Xenopus tropicalis: one gene and its partners. The protein of the gene in region 1 binds, or shares a complex with, the protein of each later gene. Links are inferred from orthologs where the notes say so. Each region holds a gene or a part of one and is shown on either strand. Other genes may lie near its edges.

What was found.
Region 2: apool (region 1) and micos13 share a complex: the UniProt entries of both Homo sapiens proteins name them as parts of the mitochondrial contact site and cristae organizing system (MICOS) complex. The link is inferred for Xenopus tropicalis from reciprocal best matches to the Homo sapiens genes APOOL and MICOS13.
Region 3: apool (region 1) and chchd6 share a complex: the UniProt entries of both Homo sapiens proteins name them as parts of the mitochondrial contact site and cristae organizing system (MICOS) complex. The link is inferred for Xenopus tropicalis from reciprocal best matches to the Homo sapiens genes APOOL and CHCHD6.
Region 4: apool (region 1) and immt share a complex: the UniProt entries of both Homo sapiens proteins name them as parts of the mitochondrial contact site and cristae organizing system (MICOS) complex. The link is inferred for Xenopus tropicalis from reciprocal best matches to the Homo sapiens genes APOOL and IMMT.

What each region holds. Positions count from the first base shown.
Region 1 is NC_030684.2:63,236,983-63,241,236, reverse strand, and holds the start of apool (MICOS complex subunit MIC27), read left to right. Parts: upstream 1-1,448; 5' UTR 1,449-1,519; coding exon 1,520-1,531; exon of another isoform or gene 1,532-1,571; intron 1,572-2,746; coding exon 2,747-2,851; intron 2,852-3,643; coding exon 3,644-3,763; intron 3,764-3,895; exon of another isoform or gene 3,896-4,015; coding exon of another isoform or gene 4,016-4,096; intron 4,097-4,254. UniProt on the Homo sapiens protein: Component of the MICOS complex, a large protein complex of the mitochondrial inner membrane that plays crucial roles in the maintenance of crista junctions, inner membrane architecture, and formation of contact sites to the outer membrane.
Region 2 is NC_030677.2:114,330,576-114,334,829, reverse strand, and holds the start of micos13 (MICOS complex subunit MIC13), read left to right. Parts: upstream 1-1,449; 5' UTR 1,450-1,532; coding exon 1,533-1,561; intron 1,562-1,756; coding exon 1,757-1,913; intron 1,914-4,254. UniProt on the Homo sapiens protein: Component of the MICOS complex, a large protein complex of the mitochondrial inner membrane that plays crucial roles in the maintenance of crista junctions, inner membrane architecture, and formation of contact sites to the outer membrane.
Region 3 is NC_030680.2:134,698,652-134,702,747, reverse strand, and holds the start of chchd6 (MICOS complex subunit mic25), read left to right. Parts: upstream 1-1,291; 5' UTR 1,292-1,366; coding exon 1,367-1,450; intron 1,451-4,096. UniProt on the Homo sapiens protein: Component of the MICOS complex, a large protein complex of the mitochondrial inner membrane that plays crucial roles in the maintenance of crista junctions, inner membrane architecture, and formation of contact sites to the outer membrane.
Region 4 is NC_030677.2:17,822,754-17,827,022, reverse strand, and holds the start of immt (MICOS complex subunit MIC60), read left to right. Parts: upstream 1-1,464; 5' UTR 1,465-1,592; coding exon 1,593-1,637; intron 1,638-4,269. UniProt on the Homo sapiens protein: Component of the MICOS complex, a large protein complex of the mitochondrial inner membrane that plays crucial roles in the maintenance of crista junctions, inner membrane architecture, and formation of contact sites to the outer membrane.

The sequences.
Region 1 (4,254 bases):
GGGGAACATGTTGCTCCCCAACCCCTTGGATGTTGTTCTCAGTGCCCCCAAACCAGGTAGTTATTTTTGAATTCCTGACTTGGGGGCAAGTTTTGGTTGAATAAAAACAAGATTTCCTACCAAATAAAGCCCCTGTAAGCTGATAGGGTGCATAGAGGCCCCTAATAGCCAATCACAGCCCTTATTTGGCTCCTCCATGAACTTTTATGGTGCTTGTGTTGCTCTCCAAGTCTTTTTACATTTGACTGTGGCTCACGAGTAAGAAAGGTTGGGGACCCCTGCTATAGATCCTCTGGCTTCTCTGTCCCAGTTTGAAATGGAGAGTGGGTGTGTCCTAACGGTCCCTGCCAGAAGCATGGTAGGAGGGGGAGAGCCAATCACAACCCTGCACTCACACAAGCAATGACAGACTTCAGTTCCCTATCAGGTCAGCCTAGCTGCTGATTGGTTCCTATCCTACAGTGCAGGGTACGGAGGGCCGCTGGCTCCCCAGCTCATCCAGAGAATTCAGCCAGCAGGAAGTGGAACAGATGGGAGGGCTAGTGAGGTTTTGGTGGAATTTCTCAATAAATCAGTCTGAACCTTTTTTTTTAAGCACAATCCTTCTATATCTGGAGGAGTATAATTCACAGGTACAATCTTAATTCATTCTCCTTTAATAAGTGTAGAGATAAAATGACCACATCACTTGAAAATTCAGGGTCACATCTAATAAATTCATATTGCAGGGCAGCAATGATTGCATTTGAAATAAACTGCAATGCAATTCAGCCCCGTTAGCTGCATTGTTTTAGATACATCCCTCAAATCCAGCAGCCCTGAACACCCGCAGCCGATACTGAGTTCAGGAGGCGGCCCACTGACTGACAGCAGTTTCCAAAGTTTAAACAGCCCCTAAATAATTACCCTCAAAAGATAAAAACACGGGAGTCACAGCCCCATACAGCGCAAGTTTCCCGGAAAACTCCCATCGTACGTTCTTCCCAGCACACACAGTTATAGTTACCCCACTACGCTGAACCCAGTTTCCCAGAACACACAGTTATAGTTACCCCACTACGCTGAACCCAGTTTCCCAGAACACACAGTTATAGTTACCCCACTACGCTGAACCCAGTTTCCCAGCACACACAGTTATAGTTACCCCACTACGCTGAACCCAGTTTCCCAGCACACACAGTTATAGTTACCCCACTACGCTGAACCCAGTTTCCCAGCACACACAGTTATAGTTACCCCACTACGCTGAACCCAGTTTCCCAGCACACACAGTTATAGTTACCCCACTACGCTGAACCCAGTTTCCCAGCACACAGTTATAGTTACCCCACTACGCTGAACCCAGTTCAGCACACACAGTTATTATAGTTATTCCACTACGCTGAACTCAGTTTGCACTGGCGGACTGATATGTGTAGGTCACGTGATGTATTCGAGCTTGGCCGAAATGCGCTGTTCGAGAAAGGAAGAGGTTTGAACTCACCACTGCACCGTAGTTGCCCGCTAGGAGGGGGCGGACATGGTGGCCAAGGTGAGTGTTCCTCCTCCTTTACAGTCTTATGTCTTTCTGAGTAAACGTATCCAGCGTGCATTGGCGTTGGTGTGATTAAGCGATCTGCCACTTTCCCTGAGCATCTGTCACATTATACTTTGTACATTGAATCCCTCTCTGTACTCCCACTGTCCTTCCAAATGTTCTTGTACCTGTCATATTCTTCATCTTCTCTCCCCACAAATCTCTACCTGGCCCATGCCAGCTCGCATGTATATATTTAGCCAATCAATATCCTCTCACCCTGAAAGTGTTTGTTGGCTAGCCTTGCAGCACTTTCCTAGCTGTGGATCTGAATTTTAATAATGCAGCTTGCGGTGGGCTGAAGGCTGGTGTGCAACACTCTAAGGGACAGCTCCCCCCATGTTTTCTGTATATCTTTATATGTATATAGCAATTGCATATGTTTAGATCCTACCCTCTGCACCAGTGACAACTAGATGTTTCTGGGCCCCAAATATTGGTAGCCTTACATTCTACAAGAATATATTGAAATTGCTCATTAATTAGAGTATTACTAGGCCTCCTGCGTTCCTGGGGTAACTCCCAAAATAACCGCTGTGCTGTAGTTACATCCCTGTTCTGGACCCCAAGACCCAATAACATATATTTACATTAGGTTGTGTTTTATATGCAGTTTAAATCTGAAATGAGTATCAAATCACATTTGAGATTAAATGTAGTGTGCTGTGGTAAAACTATTGAAGCAATCAAAAAAAGCAAATGGCACTCAGGACTACAAAACAAGGGTAAAACCCTATTAAAAATTTATTGCGGAGGTGCAACGTTTCGGGGCAATGTGACCCCTTTATCAAGCATGATAAATTATCAATGCTTGATAAAGGGGTCACATTGCCCCGAAACGTTGCACCTCCGCAATAAATTTTTAATAGGGTTTTACCCTTGTTTTGTAGTCCTGAGTGCCATTTGCTTTTTTTGATTGCTTCAATATTTTTGGAGGGTGCCGATCCCTCCAGCAGTAGGCACCGGATAAAGGACTCTTTGGAGAGGTAGGGTGTGCGAATAGGTCTCTGTGTTTCTGTGGTAAAACTATGCAATGGAAAAGGGCACAACCTTCGGGGTAGTTGTTACATAACATGGCAGTTGTTACATAACTTGCCCCTCTCAGGAATGTCTCTGTGTAAAAAGTTTGTTTTTATTAAATGCTTTTATTGAATGCTTTCTCTCCTGCAGATATTCAAGTTGGCAGCAGTGCCTGCTGGCCTAGTTTTCACCTCTTATGGCCTTTATGCAGTTTCAGACCGGGAGCCTAAGGGAAATCTCCTGAAACCTATTCAGGTAATAATCCCTACCTGTTTGAAAGGACTGAATTCAAACATGGTCGCTAAGTAGTTAGCTCTTCAAAACATACAGGACCATTAACTGGCTCCAGATAAAACTGACCCAGTTGGTGCAGATTGTAGCATATTCTCATGTCAGCACTTGAAGTCATAGGCTCTTCTGATTGTCAGTGTTTAATGGAAATTATACCCTCCTTTTTAAAAAGAGCTCATTCAGTTGAGCTGAACTTCCCACAGTAAATATAAATGTATTATTCTTTTTAACAGACATACCTGATTCCACAAAGTGAATTGAAGTTCACAAAGTGATGCAACTCCTCCCTCACTTTGTGGATCCTGGGACTTGAAGTCCCTCTACTTTACATAGTGGTTGGTTTAGATTCTTCGCAAAGCAGAGGGGCTTCAGGTCCCAAAATCCATCACTTCACAATGGAATACAGTTAGGAATGGGTTGGATCACTCTGTGAGTCTAAGGGGGAGGGAATCCAACCCCTGCAGAAAAGGCTGCATTTATATTTATTTTTGAAAGTTCAGATAGTGTCTATGCACTTTTCTTCCTAACCCTAACTGCATGAGCTGATGCCAAAGGAGGTATATGTTCCCTTTAAGCTTCAAAACTACCCATAACCCTGCTGAACAGGATAAGAGATACATGTTAAGTGATGATTTTGAAATACAGAATGAGAGTTAATAAATGTGTTCACCAATCAGTACCATAATTGAGCATTTATACATATATAGGCATTGTTTTAGACCTTGAAAATGCAAACAAAATATCTCTTATTTATAGCTATCTGTTTATTCCGTTCCTGCACAAAAATCTAAATATATCGAAGAACACCCTGGCCGTCTCCAGTCTGGATTGTCTTCAGTGAGGGAAACTATTTGGCCTTATGTGGTATGGGGCAAGGTAAGTTCTCCCATCTCTACTTCATCCTGTTCTTTAATATAGACCTCCTACTTATATTTGTTTTTATATTTTTGCCCCAAACAGATAAGTTTTTACACACTTCTGACTTGAATTCATATTAAGAGTTTACCATTTCAAGAAGATGCTTTATTAAAAGGTTGAAAGATGGTACTGATAAGCTGTACAACTTCTTGCCTATTTTTAGTTTTGTTTAAAAGTTTCAAGCCATGTGCACAGCAACTCCTTCACAATTTATAAAACACTGCCATTTAAAGTCCATAGGAGTAAATGACATAGTCCATTATCATTTCTGCTGTTTGCAGGGTTCCAGCCCTGTAAATAAAGAATAAAGTATCCGTTTTGATATATCTACACAAAGTCTATCAAACACACGAGCATGAGTTCCAAAGAAAAATGCAAACTCACAGTACATAAAAACAGATATAAATTATAATCTTGGTTAGGACCATGTGGATAAGGGGAATCCAGGT
Region 2 (4,254 bases), on another chromosome or scaffold:
AGTAGTTTTTTCATTTAATAACATTAAGACCAAATATCATTTTCCGGGCTGATAAAATACAGGCCAGGTGGCCTGGCAGTTTAGTAACTGACCAAGTTGTCAGGTTCCCTATTCTTAAAAAAGGAAAGGTACCACATATTCTGTGAGTTTGGTCCCCACTAGCTAGAAGAGTTGGTTTGTTAAAGGGCCTATGGTTGAGGTAAAACTCAGTAGGTAAAGCACTAGAAGGTTTTGTAGTAGTTTGCTTTAGGAGTGAAAGCCAGGATCAGGGTAGTTAGTAGAGTAGTCAGAGACTCTAACAAAGAAACCAAGGAAGGTTAGTACCCTGCAAAGTCACCTGCCAGTATAGGGACTCAAGCGCTAGGGTCAGGAATAGGAGATTTCAAGGGACTACTGTAAGCATCCACTAGTGCTGGGGACTACCTCTGGGGTGTTGTAAACATTACGCTTGTGATTAGAAAAGAATACCATCCAAAGAATTAAAGTATTTGAGCATTTATGAGACAACTGATGTTTGCACCATCTTATCCTCCAATACCAATAACCAATGCCAATAACAAATCATCACATTGGGCGTATTAAAAGGATTAAATGGGTATGGCTAATTTTATGCTGCCACCTTTCTGGTTTCTACCTGCTTTTTACCAGGACAGCCCAGTTTTCAAAAGGGCTGTCTGGGTCAAACCTGCATGGCCAGTTTTCCAAACAAGAAAAATAAGCAGGATTCTCCTACACTGATGCAGAACTTTTCCAGATTGCTGTAGCAATGTGCCAAATGATACCCACCCCACCCTGTCTGGCTTTCAGAATGGGAAAAGGTGGCATCCATATTTGTACAGTAGTGCTACCGTATTTGGTTTCTTGATTCTTGAGCTGGTGTTGATTTTCTAAACCAGATTATTTGGTTGGTCAGAAACCAACATCAGCAATGGTATAGGGGGTCATTGGTCAATCCAAACAGGACTGGGCTGTACTCTGCTGTGGTGTCTTTTCTTCTGCCCTCTTGTTTGCTCTCCCATTTTAGCTTTTTACTTTGGGATTTGGTCGAATCCCAGTCTGACACATTGCATACAAAATGGGAAGTATTCTAGTGTACAGCTAGTTGTACTAAATGCCAAAATTTAACTGGTGATCAAAATTTTATTTCTAGGTTTTCTTTATCCTGTGGCACCTTATACAATGTCAATACACAACTGCTTAACCAAAAACCATATTATCACTACGCTTTATGTATGCTAAAAAATGTAAACTTTGAATAGTAGTTCTTTTGTTCATATGTTTTATATTTATGTGAACAGCTATAGTTAAAATTGTATCATATATAGCAACAATACAGGCTATGGAACAATGTCACCATTTATATAGTTAACGAGGGTCATTCAAACTAAACGCTTGTTATCTCAAGCAAGCGTTTAGAAAAAACCCATATATTTTCTCTACACTACAATTACCGAGATGCTTTGCGAACTGTCCGTCTCATGTGATCGGAAGTAGAGAGGCTGGATGCGCGGCGTGTCCTTGGAGGGGGAAAAATGGCTTCCGCAGCATTGAGGATACTCAAGTGAGTTTGTGTCAAGCGCTGCTGCTTTTAACTTACTGACAGAAAATGTCCGTATTCAAGAATTCTTGCTGGGCTGTATTGTCGGATATAGTTAGCTTCAAGCTTTACGAATACCACGCCCTAAGGCTTTCTGCTTCATATGGAGAATGAGTCTGTGCGAAATAAATGGTTTTAGCAAATTCCTACTCATTTTAGGTTTGCCACCAAAGCAGGCCTGGCTGGGGGAGCTGTGTATGTGGCGTATGACCAGGGGCTGCTGGGCAGTGGCACCCAAGGAGAGGAGGTGCTGAAGAAGACCACAGCTGCCATACCGCCTGCCATTCAAGAATGGGCTAATTACTTCGGCTGGCAGGTAAACTAATTAAAGAGGTGTAAGTGTGTGTGTCTATATATCCATATCATATATATAATAGAAAGAGTGCCGCACTCACAGGGACTTGATACAAAAGAAAGTGTTTTTATTGAAAAAATTCCAACATTTCGAGCACAACCAGTGCTCTTCCTCAGGTCCACAAGTCCCTGTGTGTGCGGCACTCTTTCTATTATATTTTTGTTTTTGACCTGCACCAAAGGCATTTGGACTTGTATAGGGTGTGCTCCTCCCTGTGTACCATATCACACACACACACACATATATATATATATATATATATATATATATATATATATATATATATATATATATATATATATTTTTCCTTATTGGATGCAAAACAATCCTATTGGGTTTATTTAATGTTTTATTGATTTTTTTAGTAGACTTAAGGTATGGAGATCCAAATTACGGAAAGACCCCTTATCTGGAATACCCTTGATCCCAAGCATTCTGGATAATGGTTCCTATACCTGTATAAGGAACAGCGTAACTTATTTTGGCACAATCCCTCCTGTACAGGTTAGTACAGTGCTATACAGCCACAGTTCCATCAGTACATTACAGAGCATGTGTAAATGTTTTTATAGCATGTTTTAATTAAACTGCCTGAGGTGATGTGGCTGCTCTAAATTTAAGCAATGTAGATTATGCATTGCTCGCGTTAAACAGTCAAACATGGAGGTTTACTACCTCTTTAAGCATTTTAGACCAATGTAGATTATGTTTGTAGCATGCACAAGGCCTTAAACTAGTACATTATTGTATACTTTGTAGTGCCAACATATTCTAAAGCTCTTTACTGGGACTGAATTATACAGTATATAAAATGATAACAATAACATGTAAGAATGAAGAGAGGTCCCTATTCACTAGAGCTTACAATAAGGAAATGCATTGACTAAAGGTCCCCATACACAGTAAGATCCGCTTGCTTGGCAAGATCGCCAAGCGAGCAGATCTTCCCCCGATATCCCCACCTACGGGTGGGCGATATTGGGGAGCTTGAACGACCGGATTATGTAGGCGGCAATGGGGCAGTCGGTTCGGGGACCGCATCAACGAGCCGATGCGGTCCCCGATCCGACTGGATTTTCTAACCTGCCCGATCGATATCTGTCCAATTTCAGGCCAGATATCGGTCGGCCAGCCCGCTTGTTTCTGCCCCTACATGGGCCCTTGTATGGGGGCCTTAAGGCTAAATGCTTGCTTGGGCAATGTAATATGAAATGTATCTTAAATAAGCTTTTGCAAGTTTTCTTATTGCCCTGTGGATCAACCAGTTTCCCCAAAGACATGCACCTTCATAGAAAGCCTTCATTTGTGAACAGTTAAACATATGATGGAGTAGTGCACTTTGATTTTAAAACAGGCAAAATCCTATTTAAATGTATGTACCACTGTATGTAATTCTTTGTGACAGTGACATACACACAGAGAAATAATGTATTCTTTGTTTTTCTCAATGTCTGTGTGTATTACCCATGGACAATTGTTAAATAGCATTTTTAAGTATATTTGCAGCATGGGAGAGGTCTTGGAGGTGTTACATACGGTTGAAAAAAAGACCAGAGTTCAACCCTTCCAAGTAAACCCAGCACACAAACCTATACTGACCTATCTATGCACTCACATACATAAACTATATATACAGAAATTAATACTAACTGTAGATATTAGTGTAGCCCACCCTAGGGTATGGCTTGGTGTACTGTAGTTGTGACTGTGGTGACACCCCAAAGATTCCCAGTAAATACCAACACAAACAGGAAGTAAACCCAGATTTATTACACAGGAACTGGGCTGAAAATGAGTTAGAAAAATTAAATGCAGATAAATGCAGAAAGTATGAACAGGCAGAAATAGCAATAACAGTGCAATGCAATGTAAACTGCACTAGCAGTTAAGTTCTAACAACAAAGTTTGGGAGCTCCCCTAATGTCCTATAAGCCGGCAGCGTTGGGGCCCTTAAACAACAATTTACATCCAGGATGCTTGTACTTTGTTATTATAGCTTCAGAGGAAACCAGCTTGGCTACATTAGTATCACAATAGCCTTGGATATTCTGCTTGTTCAAGAACTCATCCAAGCCCCTCCATCCAGGCATTAACAGAATCTGCGATTGCAACATCACTAGGAAGGGCATTCCCCAACCTCACTGCCCTCACCATGAAAAACCACCTACGCTGCTTCAAATGGAAGCTCCGTTCCTCTAATCTAAAGGGGTGACCTCTGGTGCGTTGATTGTTTTTATGGGAAAAAAGAACATCCCCCAACTGCCTATATTCCCCTCTAATGTATTTATACAGAGTAATCATG
Region 3 (4,096 bases), on another chromosome or scaffold:
ACATTGGCGTTGAAATAATCATGACACACCATATTTTGAGTACACAAATCTTTTTATTCTTATTCATGCAAATGATTTTATTTTTATTTTTACTTTGATGTAAATAATGTCCATATATGTTTGCACAAAAGTAAAGGGATCTGATGGTTTACACTGTATTGGATACGTCACGTTTGCACGTCACGATGTAGTTTCCCGCCACACTGTGTATTTAAGTTCTGTTTGGTTTGCTTACGTGTAACTTTGAGAAAGGCTACTGCTGTAGCCGAAACGTCAGTTTTTTGCTGTTCACCCAAATAAAATTAATATTTTTTCTATAAGTCCTGTGTGATGCGATCCATTTTCACCTATTATATATATATATATATATATATATATATATTTGTCTGTTGCAGGATGATGCTAGCTTACTTGCCCCCCCTTGGAAAATTTTCTGCGGACGCCCATGATTGAATCTATAAATGTTTTAATTTATTAGAAAGATTATTGTTTGGGCTTTACAAGGCTAAAAACCAGACAGATGAGACCAGAACAGGCCTAAGAAAAACTGAACTGTTCAGGTCAAAACTGGACAGGAGACGACCAGGGCTGTATTTATGTCTGGTGCTACCCTAGGCAAGGGACCTAAATACCACTATCACTTCCCCTGTCCCTCACCACCCCAAGCTCTGTCACCAGATTTCCTATGGAGGGCATATTTTTTTTTTTTTTTTTAAATAAAACCTATATATAGGCAACCCAAGGGCCACCCCCCCAAAACCTGCCACCCAAGCACAGGTACTCAGTTGCTTAAATATATATAATATATATATATATATATATATATATATATATATATATATATATATAACCTAACTTGCCAGGATTTGCTTTTTGTGAGAGGGTGCCTAAACAGTTATTCCACCCATTACTTGTAGTATATATATATATATGCCTATTTATATCTGAGCAATCTTAAATTAAATTTAAAAAAAAAAAAATATATATATATATATTTTTTTTTTATTTAATTTAACATTGCTCAGATATAAATAGGCATGTTACACAGCTAGCTAATGCTATTTTAATGAACACATTCGCAACAAATAACACAGTAACAGAGAGCAATAAACAAACTCATAAAGTAGGCTGGCTGGCAATAACTTCACCACAGTGCACCGCGCCCTCACAGTTCTGCCAGAACTACAACTTCCAGAAGACCGAAAGAGAACAGCGCCGCTCTTGATTGGTGGAAGCAACCTAAAGCGCTGCGATTGGCTATTGTGTTTTGTTCTCTGCCAATGAGCGCCGAGTGGTTGGCACATGCGCACAGGTTACTAGTCAGTCTCAGGGCAGCTGCCTGGAAGTGGTTGCCGTGGTAATCATCATGGGGGGCAGTGAGAGCACCGGGAGGAAGGTGTCCTTCGGGATGGATGAGGAGGAAAGGGTGCGAGTGCTGCGAGGAGTCAGGGTGAGAAGAGGGGCTTATCCGTATTATCGCAGTGCATGTGGTGGGGCTGCATCATTGTGCTTCTTGCGACCACCAGACTCAGTACCCTCAGGGGATGCTGGGAAATATCTTGTGCGTGTCAATGGATGTGCGTCCTTATGGCATGGCATGACAGCCCCTGTGCTCTGTGTGTAGCACAAACAGCTTTGCAGGTTGCTCATACTAAGTTTATAGACAAACTTCGCCTCTCTGATATTTGCAGAACGACAACTTCCCACATTCTGCGATAGTGAATCAAAGGTCGCCTGTTCCACTGCGATTAATGGATCTCAAAATAGTGGAGTGGAGTTATGTGGTTAATATATGGGGCATGTGGGACTGGCCAGTTGTGTTTATAGGGTGCAGCAGTTCTATCTACACAATTCTGCAGTCAGGGGAATTCAAATGAATGGGTTTAATGGGAATATTATAGTACTTACCTTAACACCTTGTTTGAAGCTGGGATTGTAGAAATGGAGCTGGGCCCCTGGTCATTAACAGATACCTAAGGGCCCAATTTAACACCTGTCACTCCCCATCTGTTCCTGAACAGCAACTTCTAGAACCCTCCCTGATAATGTAGCTACAAGGCAGTATGCTGGGTATTCCTGATATAATATATATATATATATAATGTTCCTCTCTGTCCTAACATTGGTCCTGGAGCTTACCGTACTTGGGAATCCTGTTGTTTAAATTCATAGTTCATACATCTGATGGTACATGGGGTATATTCTCTGCTTTTTCTCATCCAGTTGTCAAGTGCCCAAATGTGCTGCTTCCTTGTTAATTTGAAAGAGAAACATGTGACAGTGACAGTGCTATTATTCTGGGGAGGCAGAAGTGGTGGTGCGGGTCAATTGTCCACCAACTGAAAAGCCCTGTTAGTAAATAAAGCATGTGTCCCATTGTCCAAGGCTGATATCAAGCCCTATATTGCAGCCCTTGGGCAATTTTGTGTATATTGAAGATTGAGTGCTTTTTAACCCAAAAAGCTTATTGAACTTGTGCTTTGCAGGCTTTCAGCCAATCAGCTCTCTTTTAGTGTCTGAGTGTCACTGAGCATTTCCTGCTTAGTCAGCTAACTCTAGGGTCACTGACTCTAGTTGGGAGCCTTGTATTAGCAGTCTAAAACTGCAAATATCTCAGAAACCACAAGAAATAAAAAAAACATTCCCAGAGTAGCAATGTGGGGATGTTACCTGTTTTAATTGCCTTCTGTGGACTCCAGCTCTGAAAAACTTGCCTTGTCCTTGTCTTTGCAAATACAAGAAGACATTGCAAACCTTATCTGATGCAGAATGGGAATACATTTTTGTGTGTGAGGTTTTTATTACATGTGAAAATGATATATGAATATTATGTAGCTTTTAACATTGTTTTTCCTCTTCTTCCCATACTTAAAACATTAACAGTAACTGAGAAATTAGATTACTAAAAAGAACAAACATTGATTGAATTTATTTTCAAATAGCGTATGTATATACATGGAAGTTTACTATAACTAGCTTCATTGTAGCACTCAGAATGCAATAAATGAATAGAGCCAAGAAACACCTAGGGGCCCATTTAAGGACATTCATATTTTTTTTTGTTTTCCCTATTTGTGGTTTTTAGAGTTAAGACTAAATTGCATGTAATTAAATTTCATATAATTAGTAAAACATGAATTTTACTAATTACATGAAGTTTGTGATTTATTAAGTGAAAAAAAAAACAAAAAAAAAGGACAAAACGACATTAAAAATCTTTCAGGTCATGTAGAAGTCAATGGGATCTGTCCCAGGACAATTGTAACAATCTTTATTTAATTCTTGGTTTTAGTTTTCATGTTTTTCATGATTTTGTTTTGTGTTTTTATTTGTTCCTGCTTTTTATACTCAGATATTTTAAGTAATGACCAGACATTGGTCGCCCCCCCCCCCCATCCTGTGTGCTCATGTGCGACTTTGGCATACTGCCCCTACATTTGTGCTGCCCTAGGCCTGGGCCTGGTAACTTGGGCACACTGGGCCCCTCCTTTGAGGATTCCTTCCTCCATCGCCCCCCTCCTAGACCACTTGCACCTCACCTCCTGGCCCACACCCTTTAAGAGGGCGCCCCATGACCGTGGGGTCTGCTCTATAGGTAGCTATGCCTTCGGTTCTTATGCTGGAATTTAGTGTTTGCCTTTTTTTATTACATGGTCTTTAGTAAATGTTCTTATAAGATAGTAGAGGCTTTCTCTTTGCACGCCATTGTTGTTCAGTGCTTTCCTGATTGTGCACTGGATTTTTTTTTTTTTAAATGGCCTTAAGGGTGGATAGTTTGGTGAGGTTTCCAAATGAGCAGATCTTTCCTCCAGTATGCCCATAAGGATAGGAATAGGAGCCATCAGAGCAAGGCTATGGCCCCCCAATCCAATGCAAAAATCAAACCATTATGTCTTTGACTCATTTGTTTAACTGGGTTCTCATGATCTAGTTTTAAGACTTGTATGAAAAACAGATCGCATTTTAGGTCATATTTATGCAGAAATATTGAAAATACAAAAGAATTCACAAACTTTCAAGCTCCACTGAATGTCATATTAATAAGATATTGCCAGGTTTCAGTTTTCTTACAGGAATCTGTAAAAGCACAAGCTTT
Region 4 (4,269 bases), on another chromosome or scaffold:
TGGGGCCGCTTTCGCGCATGCGCACAGGAGGGCGCGCTTTCGCGCATGCGCACTGGGGGCGCTTTCGCGCATGCGCACGGGTGGGGAGGGGACGACCGACAGGGGTGGCCTCGGGGCGCCCAAAACAGAAATCCGGCCCTGCCCGGTACAAGTTTCACTAAGCTGTTTACCTGCTACCCCCTACACCTCTTTCACTGCTGAGCTCTCTTTAGCTGTCTCCTTCTGATAACCTCCCTACCCAGAGTTATCCTGAACCTTTAGGCCAACATTTCCTTAACCCCAGTCTTCCTTACTGGTACAGGACAAAACCCTGATGGTGGTCAGTGTATCATCTATAATACTACCTGCAGGGTAATTAGCTTAACCATGTTAGTTTGCTACAACTCCCTGCATTCATTAATATCTAAAATACATTTTGCTTTCTATTAAAAGTATTGCTGAAAGGATATTGCCTTATACTTCTCACTGTAATGTATGCCTTATACATACACTGTAATGCTTGTGCAACAATGAGTGTCATGACATGCTGTGCTACTGTGTATGGGGGCACTGTGTATGGGGGGCACCTGTGTATGGGGGGGCAAAACTGGTACATAGTTATAACTCACATATAACTCACTGCCTTCTCTCTATATTTGTATTTATATGTAGGAGTTGCTATAATGTTTCCCTTAGGCAGTACAGTATGAGAGTATAGCACATTTGCGTCTGATCCCGCCATTTTAACTATATAAAAGGAGTATTTTTTTAATGGGGTGTGGTAATTGGGGCGTGGTCACAAAAGAGGGTGTGGTCAAAAAAATTGCCGCGCTGCGCGCACCAAATCTTTTTGTCCCTCTTTTCATTTTTCAAATGTTGGGAGGTATGCATGGGACATACAGAGTAACATATAAAGCAATCAATAACCGATACAAGAGGTGAAGAGGGCCCTGCCCAAAAGAGCTTACACTCTACAAGGAGACATACAGAGTAACATATAAAGCAATCAATAACCGGTACAAGAGGTGAAGAGAGCCCTGCCCAAAAGAGCTTACACTCTACACAAAGTTATTACAGAAACAGCTGTGACTTGTGAAACTATGCAAAGGATAGTTCTCTAGGTGTATCAGCTGCTTCTGCTACATTGCTGTGAGTCAGAACCCGCGGTGCACAGACTGTAACCAGGCAGGCACTGCTTTCAGCCATCACAGAGCTGCACAGAGAGTGTAAAGTTTATTTTAACCACATTTTATTGCGCAAAAGCCAGTTTCATGGTGAAAGTCCCCTTTATTAATACGTAGTGCGAAAAGTCATGTGGTACAAACTCTATAACACTGCGATAAACCACAACACACGATATCCCTGTTAGGAACTACAAGTACCAGCATGCCCCAGCCATGAGACCCGTATTGGATACGCAAATCCCTATCTTGTTCTCAGAAGTGTTATTAATAAAGCTGTTGAATTAAAAAAAAAATCAAGCTGTCATGCCATAGTGGGCGTACCCCGGCGAATGACGTAGGCGGAGCTAGAGGTGCTACACGGACCGCGCCTCCATTCATGCCGTACTGAGAGCGCTCCCGGAGCTTGCCCTCCCCATCACACCGGAGAACATGCTGCGGGTGTGCAGGAAGGCCCAGGCGGCGGTGCTCGCCAAGGTGAGTGGATAGCGCGAAAGAGTACACAGTGTTGCAGTGAGGGAGCTTCTAGTTGGGAGAATGGGCGGGGATGGATTCTGACAGGATATCGCCTAAAGGCCGGGAAACAGCAGTACTGAGCCTTACGAAGTAAGGGACCCCGGCTTCCAAGGCTGGGAGCCGTCAGCGGCGCCTAGGACTTCCTTTCACTCCAGCCAATTACAGGCAACCGCTTTAACAAGCTGCAGGCTGACCGGCCAATCAGATTCCAATGTCCTTGGCACTTTAGCCAATTACCCCTTGGTTAAATATATGACGCTGCTCGGGCGGGGCTAGCGTTAGATTGACGTCTGTTAGACCTATAACGTGGTTAGTTGTTTTGACGGACGTTCTGTGAAGCCAATGAGCGATGTATATTTTGGCAGGTAGAATGGAAAGCTATAGTGGCGAGGGACTGTGAGGCGGCATGGGGCTAGGTCACCGGGGCACACGGCCTGTATACGGCCTAAAGTTTATTTTAGCCTCAGTGGCTAATTGTACCCTCCTGCGAGAGCGCCCCTGTCTGCATAAACCCCACTTGTCTTTTGCCTGTAGGTGTGACCTTGCTTGGTGTCCCATCCCCAGGGCCTAGCTCCTATCTGGTGCCAGGGACAGTACAGAGAGTGGCAAAGAGCTTAGTTAAAGTTATTGGACCACAACTCCCAGCATCCCTTGACAGCCTTTTGCGACAGTTAAGGTTTGCTTTTTGATTGGGAGAAAATATCATCTTTTCATTCTTCCATATAAATTGTATAAAAGCGCTGCTTCACCTTCACCATTGTGTCTTTTTATTACTTATCTTTCTATGTAGGCCCTCTTCTATTCATATTCCCATCTACCTTTTAAACCACTGGCTGGTTGCTAGGTTAAATCGGACCCTAGCAACCATACAGCTGCTAAAATGTAAAATTGGGGAGCTGTTGAACACAAAGAAAAATATATCAAAACCTGCAAGTAATTAAAAATGAAGACCAATTGCAAACTGTTGCAGAATAGCACTCTCTGCATCATACTAAAAGTTCATTTCAATGTAAACTGCCCCTTTATATGTACATTGTGTTGTATGAAGCAGATCTAATGATGTATAGAGCGTTGGCACTCTGCCTTCTACTTTCTAATCTGTATCTGACCCCAGCCCAGGGTAGGAATCCTTATACAGGTGTACTAGGGACCTGGGGAAGGTATATTTCCATTATTTGGATCTCCATACTTAATAATTAAAAGCTGAAATAAACCCAGTAGGATTGTTTTGCCACTCACATGGATCTGTGCTGCTTAGTTACCATCTCATACAAGGTACTGTTCTAATATTTCAGAGAAATAGGAAATCGGAATTATTTGCTTATAATAAAGTCTGCAGAATATTAAAGATGAACTCTGGCTTCTGCGCCAAAATGTGTTACAGAGCCCCACACAGCACAGAAACCCCCCAAATCCCTATCACTGTAATCTGTTCCTTCAAAAAGTAGGAATAAATACCATTTTATATGCTGAAATCCAGCTGCAAAACAGTTCTTCTCTTTCTGCATCATTTGAAATCCTGGCAGGGGAGAAGGGACTAAAACATTGATGTTACAAATTGTAACAACTTCTCCACAGCTTACTGACAGCATGCAGGAACCCACAAATTCTCCGACATGGGGGCAATATCAACAGGAGCCAGTTAACTTTCCCCTATATTGCTGGAGGATGCACAGCAATGGCACAGAGGAACGTTACTCAGATGCCAAGCACACAGTGCCCAATCTGCACGTAATGCTCAGCAATGTGGGGCAGGAATGCTACTTAACGTGCCACCCTGCTCCCATTGATAGCCGTGCCCTTGGATGTTGATATGAATAGGTCACTATGCTATCTTTTTTTACCCACAATGCAGTTTTTATCCCCCCCCCCCAGCAAAATGGCAGGTACCCTCTAAGGCTTATGGCACAAGGGGAGATTTTCTGCCCATGGCTAAATCTGGGCTGCCGCGGGCAAGGAAATAAGCACTGTATATGCTTTCCCACTGTCAACTTACTTTACTGCTGGTTGCAAAGCATTTTGGGGAGATTTGTCACCCACAGTAACCCAGATTTAACCAAGGGTGACAAATCTCCCCTCAGGCCCAAAATGGCAGTCTATGGATTGCTGTAAGGTGCCACAGACAGTCACTATTTATTGGGCTGCTGGGGGGCTGTTTGTGCCTCTGGGTACTGGGAATGCCAGGGGGGCTGTAAGGTGCCACAGACAGTCACTATTTATTGGGCTGGGGGGGCTGTTTGTGCCTCTGGGTACTGGGAATGCCAGGGGGGCTGTAAGGTGCCACAGACAGTCACTATTTATTGGGCTGGGGGGGCTGTTTGTGCCTCTGGGTACTGGGAATGCCAGGGGGGCTGTAAGGTGCCACAGACAGTCACTATTTATTGGGCTGCTGGGGGGCTGTTTGTGCCTCTGGGTACTGGGAATGCCAGGGGGGCTGTAAGGTGCCACAGACAGTCACTATTTATTGGGCTGGGGGGCTGTTTGTGCCTCTGGGTACTGGGAATGCCAGAGGGGCTGCTGTAAGATGCCACAGACAGTCACTATTTATTGGGCTGGGGGGGCTGTTTGGGCCTCTGTGTACTGGGAATGCCAG